Xenopus tropicalis: one gene and its partner. The protein of the gene in region 2 purifies or fractionates together with the protein of the main gene of each other region. This does not show direct contact. Links are inferred from orthologs where the notes say so. Each region holds a gene or a part of one and is shown on either strand. Other genes may lie near its edges. The genes, in order: pcbd2 and hnf1a.

The links.
Region 1: the proteins of hnf1a (region 2) and pcbd2 purify together in Homo sapiens (affinity purification with mass spectrometry; 4 studies listed by BioGRID and IntAct, with this or other methods). This does not show direct contact. The link is inferred for Xenopus tropicalis from reciprocal best matches to the Homo sapiens genes HNF1A and PCBD2.

The regions. Positions count from the first base shown.
Region 1 is NC_030679.2:26,131,126-26,137,805, forward strand, and holds the start of pcbd2 (pterin-4-alpha-carbinolamine dehydratase 2), read right to left. Parts: upstream 4,582-6,680; coding exon 4,498-4,581; intron 4,443-4,497; exon of another isoform or gene 4,297-4,442; coding exon of another isoform or gene 4,213-4,296; intron 1,012-4,212; coding exon 880-1,011; intron 1-879.
Region 2 is NC_030677.2:151,971,543-151,978,235, reverse strand, and holds the start of hnf1a (hepatocyte nuclear factor 1-alpha), read right to left. Parts: upstream 3,905-6,693; 5' UTR 3,782-3,904; coding exon 3,462-3,781; intron 1-3,461. UniProt on the Homo sapiens protein: Transcriptional activator that regulates the tissue specific expression of multiple genes, especially in pancreatic islet cells and in liver. Binds to the inverted palindrome 5'-GTTAATNATTAAC-3'.

The DNA of each region.
Region 1 (6,680 bases), on a different chromosome or scaffold from region 2:
CCCTCACTTGTACTGAGAGCTATCTCCCCTACCCCTGTATTCCCTCACTTGTACTGAGAGCTATCTCCCCTACCCCTGTATTCCCTCACTTGTACTGAGAGCTATCTCCCATAACCCTGTATTCCCTCACTTGTACTGAGAGCTATCTCCCATAACCCTGTATTCCCTCACTTGTACTGAGAGCTATCCCCCTACCCCTGTATTCCCTCACTTGTACTGAGAGCTATCCCCCCTACCCCTGTATTCCCTCACTTGTACTGAGAGCTATCTCCCATAACCCTGTATTCCCTCACTTGTACTGAGAGCTATCTCCCCTACCCCTGTATTCCCTCACTTGTACTGAGAGCTATCCCCCCTACCCCTGTATTCCCTCACTTGTACTGAGAGCTATCCCCCCTACCCCTGTATTCCCTCACTTGTACTGAGAGCTATCTCCCATACCCCTGTATTCCCTCACTTGTACTGAGAGCTATCTCCCATAACCCTGTATTCCCTCACTTGTATTGAGAGTTATCTCCCATAACCCTGTTTTCCCTCACTTGTACTGAGATGCTCTTTCTGCAGCCGGCTGAAAAAAGCCAATCCCTGATTGGTTGCTATATGTGACTCTAGCAGCTCATATCAAAGCAAAAAGAGCAAAATCAGAAGAAAAATAGTGTCTAAGCACTGATAATTCTCATAAGATTATTTTTCTGCATTAATTAAATTAATACCAGTCCTGTTCCTGCTTCAACACACAGAAAATGTTGGTCTCTTGAGATTTCACTACAGATATATATGCAGCACCATTATGTCCAATCAGCAGCAATGAAGCATGTGACTACAAATGGGCTATGGAATGGAGTAATTTATATAGTGTACAGTAGTCTGAAAATTCACCTGGTTAAAGGTTTTGAATTTGTATTCTTTGTAGATGGCATTTTTCTCACTGACTTCAGTCCATCCCAATGCCTGGAGCTCTTGGAGACCATGTGCTTTTTCTTCTGGTGTCAGGAAGTAGGCCTCAGATGTCTGCAGAATCATCAGAAAGGGGAGTTAGTAACCAGTGACATATTGGTGGGGTAAGAAATGTCCAACCCACACAATAAGGAGAAGCCTTGCCCTCCAGGTGGTATCCACTTTATTATTTCAATAAACCCGTCCAGTATGGAGGAACCTTGCTTTCCAGATCTATCTAGTTCGGCGCTTCCCAAACTGTGAGGTTGCCCACTGGGACCCAGCCCTAAGGGCAACTAGGGTGAGATTTAGGCTTAAATGCTTCCTCTTCTTCATCTTTCCAGTTTTCAAATGGGGATCAATGACCCCGGCAGCCAAATAAATATTACTCTGTGAGCAATACTTTATTTCTTATCTTTCTATTCAGTTCCTCCCCCATATTCCAGTTTCACATTCTAACCACTGCCTGGTTGCCAAGGTAAACAAGGTCTTAGCAACCAGATAGTTGCTGAAATTCCAAACTGTAAAGCTTTTGAACAATAAGATAAATAACTGAAGAAAATAAAGCAACCACATACAAAATGAATACAGGTATGGGATGTATTGCAAAGAATATTTGGATTTGGATCTCCATACCTTAAGTCTGCTTAAAAAAATAATCTATATAAATAAACTCAATAGGGCTGTTTTGCCACCAATAAGAATTAATTATATCTTAGTTGGGATCAAGTACAGGTACTGTTTTATTATTACAGAGAAAAGGGAATCATTTAACCATGAAATAAACCCAATAGGGCTGTTCTGCCCCCAATAAGGGGTAATTATATCTTAGTTGGGATTAAGTACAGGTACTGTTTTATTATTACAGAGAAAAGGGAATCATGTAACCATTAAATAAACCCAATAGGGCTGTTCTGCCCCCAATAAGGGGTAATTATATCTTAGTTGGGATTAAGTACAGGAACTGTTTTATTATTACAGAGAAAAGGGAATCATTTAACCATGAAATAAACCCAATAGGGCTGTTCTGCCCCCAATAAGGGGTAATTATATCTTAGTTGGGATCAAGTACAGGTACTGTTTTATTATTACAGAGAAAAGGGAATCATTTAACCATTAAATAAACCCAATTGGGCTGTTCTGCCCCAATAAGGGGTAATTATATCTTAGTTGGGATCAAGTACAGGTACTGTTTTATTATTACAGAGAAAAAGCAAATAGTTTTTTAAAATGTGAATTAGTAAATTATAATGGGGACTATTCTGTATAACGGGATTTCAATTAAAAGATCCCATACCTGTAAATACATTTTCAAACCATCATTTCAGTCAGGGAAGCAGTACCTATGGCCAACGGCCAATACAAATGCAGAACAGAATAAAACAGTTTGCGTGCAGGTGCTGGATAAACAATAAAAATATAAATATTTTTAATTTTAGATGTAACTGGTTTTACTTGTGGCATGCTAATGAGTGCTGAGTGCTTAAAGGGTAAGTTCATCCTTACAAAACTTTGTATTTGCATTTTCCATAAGTACAACAGAAACAATTTTGTTTTTATTGTTTAAATGAAGGAATTTGGATTTCCGCTTCTCATGTTTCCCTGTAGCAGCTCACTAAGCCAGGTCAGTTCCATGTCAACTGTTGTAATTTGTTACATTAATTGCAGCAGCAACTTCAGTCGCTACCGAGCACAGAGCAACTTTTCTCAGTACATTTAAAAACAGTTTAGACACCATGCCTTTCAGTCCTCAAGTTAATGGAAGGAATACAAAAGAAATGAGTTAATAAATCTAAATTTTAAAAAATATCAGTCATAAAAAAATGTCATTATTTGTGGCACGCAAGGGTACATTTTGGGATACATTTGCGAGTATAGCTCCCCTGTTTTCCCAAATGTAAATGCCCACGTCTCTGGGCTGATTTTGCCTTTTTCCTTCATAGAGCACAACTACTTTGTATTCCCCACTGCAACTTTAGGTATAAACACATGGGGCTCATTTATAAACACTGGGCAAATTGGCACCTGGGCATTAACCTATAGCAAGCAACCAGTGTTTAGCTATTTTTTAGCCAGCTGCAAGTAAAATAATGAAGTACAGATCTGATTGGTTGCTATGGGTTACTGCCCTGATACAAATCTGCCCAGTGTTTATAAATAACCCGAATAGTAGGTCTTGTATGATAAAAGTGTAACATTTTCTACCAATAAGCAAGTAGCATTTACCAGTCATTTGTTTAAAAGCAAAAATATTATTGATTGCTATAGGTTACTGAACCAGGACAAAATAAATGTCATTTTTAAAGTTCCCCATGTTGCTTTTAATTTGTCGGTGCTTTGCAATGGATAAATGACTAGACATCCATTATCAAAATCAACCCTGGTTCTTTAAAATCCTGCTTGTCCCTGTAATTACTTTTGACCACTAGATGGCGCCATGACCTTAGAAATAATCATATCCTTAACATAAAATGGGTAAGTTTAGTGAATGCAATACTCCAAAAAAAATCCTTAACAATGTACTTTTTGTAACAAAGTATTATATGTTAAATTTGCAGTGCTAATCAACTTCTAGAATTGCTTTATTTAAAATGTATAGCTCAGTGAAGTCAAGTAAGCTTTAAAGAGCGTGTTCACCTTCAAATTACCTTTTAGTAAATTGTAGATAGAGCTATTCTGAGACAATTTGCATTTCGTCTTTGTCTTTTATTATTTGAGGTTTTTGAATTGTTTAGCTTTTTGTTCAGAAGCTTTCCAGTTTGGAATTTCTGGTTGCTTGGGAGCAATATAACTTAGCAACCAGGCTTAGCCCACATAGTGCAACCTATACAGGCACATTACATGTTATTTTGTAAGGAAATTGGAGCCCTTTTCTGTGAAGTCACTCTCCATTTATAAACCAGTATGAAAAAATGGCAAATAATACACAAACTATCATTATTGAGTCCGTTTCCAAGGAAAAGTGGAGGGTTTGGCGTCTTCTGGACTGAAACAGTTAAAACTCAGAGCAAGCAGAGGCAACATTTGCTTTACAGTAATCTTAACAACCAATCAGAAGGCAGCATGCACCGCTTTATGCTTTAGAGCTAAACCTACGATTGGTTGTTACGGGTTACAGGCTATGTGAGGGAAAAGCGGCATAAACCATTTCGCTAAAAAAAATGGGGGAGTTGTAAGTAGACGGGATGGGAAAGCAGAGGCAACGTAAATGATAATCCAGGTCCCACCATATCCTAAGTGTATAGACCAAGGCAAACATTTGTTCTGATAACTCACCATCTTAGAAAGCGCTCTGCTGCAGGTAGCTGCGACTAATGCGCGACTGCCTCCCAACCTCGATATAAACAGGAAGCTGCCCATGCCTTTTATACCTCCCCGCAATATGACTGACAGCAGTGCCGCTCTGAGCAGCCTAAGCAACTATACCGCAATCACTGAGCTGTCATACAGAAACATGTGGGCCCTGCTATGAGCCTCCCCACGGCATAAACTTACACTTCTTCCTGCTTCCTGCTGGGGAGGAGCTCCAGGCTGTACCATAGCTCTCTTACAGCTCCTTACCTGAGTTCTATGGTATACCCATAAGTAGTTATAATACCCATTGATTAACAGTGGGGGGAAGCTGTAGCCACGCAGTCGTGTCATTGTGGTTTGAAAAATAGATCAGAGCTGGGGAGGCATTGTCACAATTGTGCTGCTGAGTAGTTCTCCAGTGCTATGGAATGGCCAGTATGGGTAGGCAGGGTGTGCAAAGTGATGTCCAGGATGACAATTAGATTTTAAGGCAAATGGGACTTACAACTGGATGACATATGTTTTCTCTTTTGTAACAGTGTGCTGCTGAGTACTTCTCCAATGATTACTGTACAAAATGCCAATCTCCAGAACATAATCTTGTATGTGATCCCTTAACAAGCATTCAAATAACTTGCCCCCCACAGATGTCAGACTTACTGGCCTATGGTAGCCAGGCTGAGATCGTAATCACTTTTTAAATATTGAAGTAACATCAGCTTTCCTCCAATTACAGTTATTTTGCCAAAAATGTTTCTTTTATTTTTTAGTGTCTTTCACTTCTTTTTATCACTCAAATCTGATTATATAGAGTAAGCAATGCCCAGACATCTAATCACTGCAGTGTATTATGGGACCTTTTGTGTTTGACATCATTTTGTATTTGCTATTATGAACAACATTTGTATAGGGAAGAAGCATACCAGTATATATCAGAAATTGCCTTTAAATCATTGGTTGCAGCAGAAATGTAGTTCCAGACCTTTGCTTGCTAGATTCCTTTGGATATCCTGTATGTAGGCTGTACCTACAATAATCCATTAGCTGGAGCTCAATTTGTTTCCTAAGAATTCTTTATAAACTTAATTTTTATGCATTTAGCTCCATGCCAACAATGACACATCATAAGGAAAACCTGAGTTAACTACAAACACGAGGTTGTAATGAGAAGCTCCGGCATGTAGGTAAATAGGATATGGTACTGTAATCCTCTGGCGTGCCTCCCTCTCACAGACACCTTCAGTGTATCGACTGATGGTTTCATGCAAGTTAATTGTCGGGCCCACAGAAAATGACCTTATGTACCCTGGTAATAAAAGTATTAATAGATACATTTTTAGAAGTGACAAGGACATGGGGTATTAGCAATATGTTTATAGTAAGGCAAGTAAAGGGTTGGTTTACCTTTAGGTTAACTTTTAGTATATTATAGAATGGCCCAGTCTTAGCAACTTTGCAATTGGTCTTCATTTTTTATTTTTCATAGTTTTTTAATTTGCCTTCCTATTTAGATTTTTTCCAGTTTTTTAAAGCAGCCAAAAAACAATTTCTTCGTGAATCTACAATTTTATTATTACTTTGTATTACTTATCTTTCTATTTAGGCCTGCTTCTATTTAAACCACTGCTTGGTTGCTATGTTAAGTTGGACCCTAGCAACCAGATAGCTGTCAATATTCCAAACTGGGGAGCTGCTGAACAAAAAGCTAAGAAATTCAAAAACTGCAAATAATAAATGATGAAGACCATTTAGAATCTGTCTCAGAACAGCACTCACAATATCACAGTAACGCAATTAAAATCTGGCACCCAAAGGCCATCACACTTATATTAGGGGTGGGCAAACTACAGCCAGCGGGCCATATCCGGGCCCGGCCGGGGTCAGAAGCAGCCGGAGGATTGAGGGAGCCGCAGGATGCTGCTGGGGGGGAGCCGAAGGATGCTGGGGGTGAGCTGAGGATGTTGGGGTGGGGAGCTGCAGGATGCTGGGGGGAGCTGAGAGGCCCCGTGATTTCTGATGGCAGCCCTTGGCGTAATGCTGGCCCGGCCCGTCTGTAAGTCAGTGTGACCCCTGAGCCAAAATGTTTGCCCACCCCTGGTCAATAAAAAAAAAAAAAAAACTCCAATTAGTTATAAATTTATTTATTTACAAATAAATAATTTACAGACAAGATAAGGTGTCAGACCAAATAGGCAGGAATAAAATAAAAGTTACATTTAAAACTCCAGCGACTGAGATGAGATCCAGACAATGTGCTAAAAACTGCACAGTTTTCAGTCTAGAAGTATAGGGGCATTTTTCTTTATTGTATTTAGCAACTGAAGGGTCCCAGGCATTCTCTAAATTAGAGAATAATGTACATTCATGGTATTAACAAGAATATTTTAAGTAGTACACGGGCAAAAAAGGATTAGAATTCAAGGGCAAATAACACCATAAGTAAATACTTT
Region 2 (6,693 bases):
ATTAATGAAAAAAATCCAACGTTTCGAGCACCGTGCTCTTCCTCAGGGAAAAACCCCTGAGGAAGAGCACAGTTGGTGCTCGAAACGTTGGATTTTTTTCATTAATAAAAATTTTTTGTTTTCTAACTAAGTCCCTGTGTGTGCGGCTCACTGTCTTGCTTTATATATATATATATATATATATATATATATATATATATATATATATATATATATATATATATATATATATATATATATATATATATATATATATATATATATAATGGTTCAGGTCTGATGCATTTATCTTATCATGAAGTAAGGAAATGGCAAATAAATTATGCATTTTTAACGCAGAACCTGCATTTGATGCATATAGTTGTATAAAGTTTATATGTAGGCACAGGTGTTTATACTGCCTATTTTAGGACACACAGAGCTACTTAGTAGGAGCTACTTGTCATGGCTACTAAATACCTTGCTATAGACAATACTGAAAATCGCCTCTGCTAAAACACACTTATAGACAATTATTAGTAAATGATTAGGATTGTCTGTTTCTGTAGCCACTAAAAGTAGCTGTTACTAGTAGCTCTGTATGTCTTCATGCTTAACTATATACCCTACCTTACCAGTGACAGTGCCATTGTCTTTTTTGGATATGGCACAATAAAGAAAATAATAGCAAAACTGCAGCAATGTAATTTATAGTTTGACAGAGAGGTTTTTTTCCCCTACAGAATAATAAATACCCGGGGGAGTCTTGTTTACTCAAAGCAAACCTCTAGGTGCCCATTTACTACTACTGTGCCTTAGCACTTATTGTAACAGAAGGTACACTGCCCTTGCTATCTTTTAAAAGTAGGGTTCACTGTATATTTTGCACAAGCTATTTCTTTTGCTCAAACTGATAAGCATGCAAATGGCATGAAAGAGCACATGATCATAACACCTATATCCACCTAAATTGTAAACGCAATTTGTGCTTGATTTACAAACAGGTGCAAACTTTCCCAATGGTACTTCTGGAAATAAAAAGATATCAAATTAATCTAATTTTCCTTTTGCCCACTGCTGGTAAATGAGGACCTGTGATTTAACTGCATTTTTTAAAGGCGACCTGTCACCCAGTCATAAACATGCACTTAAGACATCATTGTACTGCTCACATCCCCTACTCACTATAATGTAATTATGCAGGCTGTGTATGTGCATCAAGTCCATATTCCAGTGCATACAGCAGATTTTTGAATGATGCAAAGCTTGCGTTAATAAGTATCCACAAAATGGCTCCTGCCTGCTTGCTCTTTATTGTGAATTCTAAGACTGAAGGAAACAAGAATACAAGAGTAATAAAAGAGGGTTTTTAATTATTTCTAAGGGTTACAGGTCTCCTTTAAGTAGATGTTGTCCAAGTTGGCAGCTTATTAGTCTGTGTATGAGGCCTTCGGGAAGGCCTGCCTAACCGATATCTGACCAAAAGTTAGGAAGGTTTGCAAAGCCTGTCAGACAAGGACTGGAATGGCACATTGATGTAGCCAGGTCTCAGTGGGTCCACAGGATGATCATTGAACCCCCCTGATCAAGATTTGGCCCAGCATGATGTTTAGATCAGTGCAACATTCTGAGCAAGAATAAGAAACTATAATGGATCTAATGGACACACAAACCTTCATACAAAACACAGTCCCCAACCCCCACAGCAGGTGCTGATTCACTCTGTTGCCGATACCAGCTTATCTCAGTACAAAGTCCAACTCATAAACAAATAATGACTGCTTCATACAAACCCTGGGGGAGGGAACACCAAATGGACCAGTTGAAAATCAAGGGGTTCATGGCGAAAAGTGTATTGCTTTACACAAACATGTTATTAGAACGAGCAGGCAGTTTATGATTAAATGTGAATCAGCACTTGTTAACTTTGACTAGGCCTCCTTGTTAAACCAATGACACATTTGGTATATCCTAAAATTATCTGGTATCTTAAATAAAAAGACATTTGTTAATTAATAAAAGTGCATGAGAATTATTCAGTCTGAAATGTCTTATAAGAATTCACCCTAGTTGGAACAATGGTGCCCTACATTTTTTATGTTTTCTTAATCTGATGCCCCTCGTTTCCTCGCCTCATCCTTAGAGGTTATTTCTAAGGGCGGTTTCACCTCCCTTTTGTTCCGTGAACAATAAGTAACCCAGTTAGTTAGTTATCAACTCAGAGGAAACAAGAAGCTGGTTGATAATTTATAGCACCTCAACCAATTTAAATGAAAAGTCCATATGAAATGATTTTCATCCTAGGAGACCCAAAACAGACAGATGCCTTGCCTGGCTCATGGCTAGTTGTCAGACTGGATGGTGCTAGAGAACAATGGCTACAAAGCAAAGCATTAAAAGGAAAATGTAAACTTTGAACTATGCTGAATTTGAAAGAAGTCTGGAAAGAAAAGGAGAAAAATGGGCACATTAGAAGGTCATGTCTGAATATTTCTTCCGGGACAAGGCATGTCCTAATACAAAACCTCTGAAGAGAATACATTGCAATTACAGTTGTTTCCAAACCTCTAGGCTGCATATTGGGAGTGGAAAGTAACAAGACATGGAATTTATCATGGTTGATGGGCCTGCTGTACAGCACATTCTATAATTGCAGCGGATGGGTTAACCATTAGAAGTTAATCATCACAAAAGGTAGAGGCCATTTGGTTTATAAATGTTTAAATTATAGAGGATGTGGGTAATTAGTAACCAGTGCGGGCCCCCTGAGCCCAAGTGATCGGCAGAACCCACACTACCTGAAGACAGGGAACTGAACTTACAGCACCCTAAAGAGTGGAAGAACGGGATAACATTAAGAAATGGACAATACCAGAAGAGCAAGCAAAAAGGAACCTTAAAAAGCAAATAATGTTTACACTACTTAAGGATCAATACCCTGGATTTGGATTTTTTATCCAGCAAAACATAAATGCAGTAGATAAAAGAAGCCATGAAAATATCAATGGGCTTATTTCAAGATAAACAAAATTGCTAAATATTGTAAAAATGGACCAAACAATGCCTGAGGTAGAGAAGAAGAAATGTCTCTTTTACTGTCTTTCATCCCAGCTGGCAAGAGAATATTAGAGGGATTTGGTGGAGAAATTGATTGGTCTGTGTTAAACTTGTTTCACCAGGGATTCCTACCCAATTTTCCAACTGAAGATATAGGTATGCCCCTTTATGAACTGCAGTCATCCCAATGGGGCATTTAAGATTTCGACTTTTTTCATCCAATTTGGAGGGAATACATAAACTTCTATGGGAAATGAGCTTTGTTTAGGTGAGTGTTGGTACAGTGGGTGTAGATTTGGGAATATGGATAGAAAAAGGGAAGGTGGAGTGAAAAATAGTGTGAAAGATTACAAGACAGAGAACCAAGGATATCAAGTGTAGGACTAGGTGATATAGAGAAGGCATAAGAGGCACATAGGTCTTACTGCAGTAGACGTTCCACCACGGCCTTCTGATGAGCAGCCTCTTCAGGGCTCAGCCTCTCTAACTCTTTCATAATGGGTGGTGTGAAGTCCCCACCATCATCAGAACTTTCATCTTCTGATATCTGAGGATCCCCTAACCCATTAGGTAGTTGCACACAGTTCTCTCCCTCGTCCAGGTTTCTAATATCATCCAAAGGGACATTGGGATATGTGTAATCTTCACCATCAGCCAATGCTTTTTTCAGAGCCTCCTTTGTCACCCCAGACTCTAACAGAGCCCGAAGAAGCTCTCGCTGCAGGTAACTGAGCTGAGACGCCATCCTCGCTGTTGCCTTCTACTGCCTCACCATCCTGCGGCTCTAACACGGATCAGCGGGCGGGAGTCCATGCTCTACCCACCTTCTGTTTCCTCCTCCCCCCAAAAAACACACTGTACAGCCACAACCAGCAAGTGGTCACCCCCCGGACAGGCTTCTCTGAGACATAGATAAGGGACCCCTGTCACTCTCTGTTTACATCAGAGCAGAGTAAATCCTCCAAGGTTCATATTTATCCCTGTGCTTTGCAAGTTACTGAACTTTGGACCCCAACTCTGCACAAAGTGCACGAGTTAGAGAGGGGGGAGTGCAGAGGAATATGAGGAGGGGTAGAAGAGAGAAGGAAATTCCAAAAGTTTAAGAGAGAAATATTAGGAAATATGGTAAAAGTAAGAGAATGAGAAGGTGAAAGTGGCACAAACCACCAGGTAAAGGACAATGCAACAGAGACGAGAAAAAAAGCTGTGAGTGGCTGAAACCTGAAAGAACTTACATGGAGAATACACATACATAGTAACCTAGTAGTTGAAGTTGAAAAAACACACATTTATCAAATACAATAAATAAATGCATAGAGAAAAATATCGCAAGGGGAACTCGAAAGAAAGACACTGGGAGGAAGGCACCAAGGAGAGAAGGAAAGTGACTACTTTAATTTATTTAATAAAACCCTACCTGATGTTTTTAAATATTGGTCTATTTATGTTTTGTTTTGTTTTTTTTTAACCTAATGGTTTAATTAAAGGCATTATACAACTGTAATTCTAACATTAATGTGTGATTATCCACACACTAAAAGGGTTAAAATAATTTTAGTTAGGAATTTAATCTCTTCCCCAGTTAGATAGTTCTGTTAACAAGGGAAGTCATAGAGACAATAACAACGGTGTCTTATTGATTTACAGTATACTGGAGGTACATCGCTTTTCTGACCTTACAGGTATTCTGTTCATATATAATAAAAGCACATGTGGAATCCACATTTGTGGATTTAAAATATTTAAGTGTATTACTCGCCAGAGTGAAAAATACAATGTAGCAGAATGGTATTTCTCTCCTCCTGTACTCAGGATCGGACTGGGTCAGACCCGATCCCTGTTACCACTCTCCCGGCCACCGATGTCCTCACCTGACACGTTTCACTTACTCGCGTTCAGGAAAGGATGTCTGGCGGGTGGCAGGGGGTGCAGGGGACGCGGGGTACCTTGTGTGTGGGCCCTGCACCCCCCAGTCCGACACTGCTTGTACTGCATCTCCTCAATCTTACAAATGGTGGATTTTTAACTTAAAGATATACAGTAGAGAACTACTGCTACAAATCGTCAGCTGGCAATGACTTCTGGGTGCCCTGGTCAGTCAGCAAGCTACTGCAGGGGAAGAGGCATGTGGCATATTGTACATGTGCTGCTATGCACCACAACACCCAGGAATGAACTTGTCTCAAAAAAACACTTCCGTCATGGAAAACAACTAATCTTTTCACACCTTGCATAAGCACAGCCACTTTGTTTAAATGTAGCATGCTGTGCTTGCTGCTTGCTGCTACTGCTGGGTGTCCTGGCAGGGATAGTGTTAAGTAAATAAAAAGTCTAAGCACTTTATTGTGTAGTTGCGGCTTCAGCTGTCACTACCAAGATCTCTAGATGGCATCATCACAACAAGGGTCACTGTAAAATGAAAAACAAAATTGAAAATTATGAGAGCAGCCTGAGGCCCACCAGCTCTTGGGGGTAATAGGGACAAATGCCTGGATTACACCATAGGATAGCATAGGATATGTGTAACACTTGCAAGTGCAGTTGTGGTCCCCATATTTTGCCAGCAGTTAGTTGCATGTAAAACCACTTTTATTAAAGGTACTTGCATCAAATTGTGCTCCTTCCACTTCTGTATAATTGTGCTCAGAGCCACTCCTCAACACAATTCCTTTCTGCCTTCTGTTCCAACTGCTGCTGCTGCACCTATTGACACAGAGAAACCCTGAAGCTTCTGACCAGACATTAGTTTCAAGGCTCCTTTGCATACAGTGTTAAAAGGTGCAGCACACTTGCGCCTAAAGAATATGGCACAGACGTCACTCGCATGACAAAACTGGATTTCCGTACATTTGTGCCTGGTTTGTACGCAGTTGCACAGAGTTGAGACATAGATTTATTCAGATTTTTCCTGTTGTCAGCAGACCCGACCCTAGCTGGTGCTACCCCTCCCGACCACTCCTCCCCTGATGCGTCAAATTTATGCGTTTGGAGGAGGACGTCGGGTGGGGGGCCCTACGAGGTGGGTTAGGGGGGCCCCTGCGGGGGGGGTTAGGGGATGCGCCTGGCTGGGGGCACCTGCAGGGCCTCTGGAACAGGAGCCCCGGTGGGCCCTTCACCCCCCAGTCCAACCCTGGTTGTCAGCAATGGAACACAACAGAAAAAATAGTTTTCTCTTGATGCGTTTTCAGTTTTTAAATATCTGCTCACAATATAAACATAAAACAGCAATAACCCATCTTCTCCTAAAAACAACAGTCTATGTATAAGTCAGGGGGTGCAGATTGGTGCTATATCTTCGAAAGAAACTGGTGAGTGCAATCTGTACATGGGTATGTGCCTCATGCATCCTACAATTTTTTCTATTCTCTAGTCAGTATTAATAAGCATCTTTGTTTGCCCCATAAATCCAGTTTTACTTTATATTTTAATTTAACCCTTCAAGTGCTAGCAAAGTAGCTGAAGCTGATACCGTGATTTCCATAGGGTTACATGTAGTCAGGTAACACAGAATTTACACATTGTCGTGTCAGCACTGTAGTGTCTATAATGAACATCTCTTTAAAGGTTAAACATTACATGCATGACTTTTGGCCTGTGTTTAGGTGTGTTTGCCAAAGGCATAAACTACCATTTTCAATTATTATTATTATTCCAAAT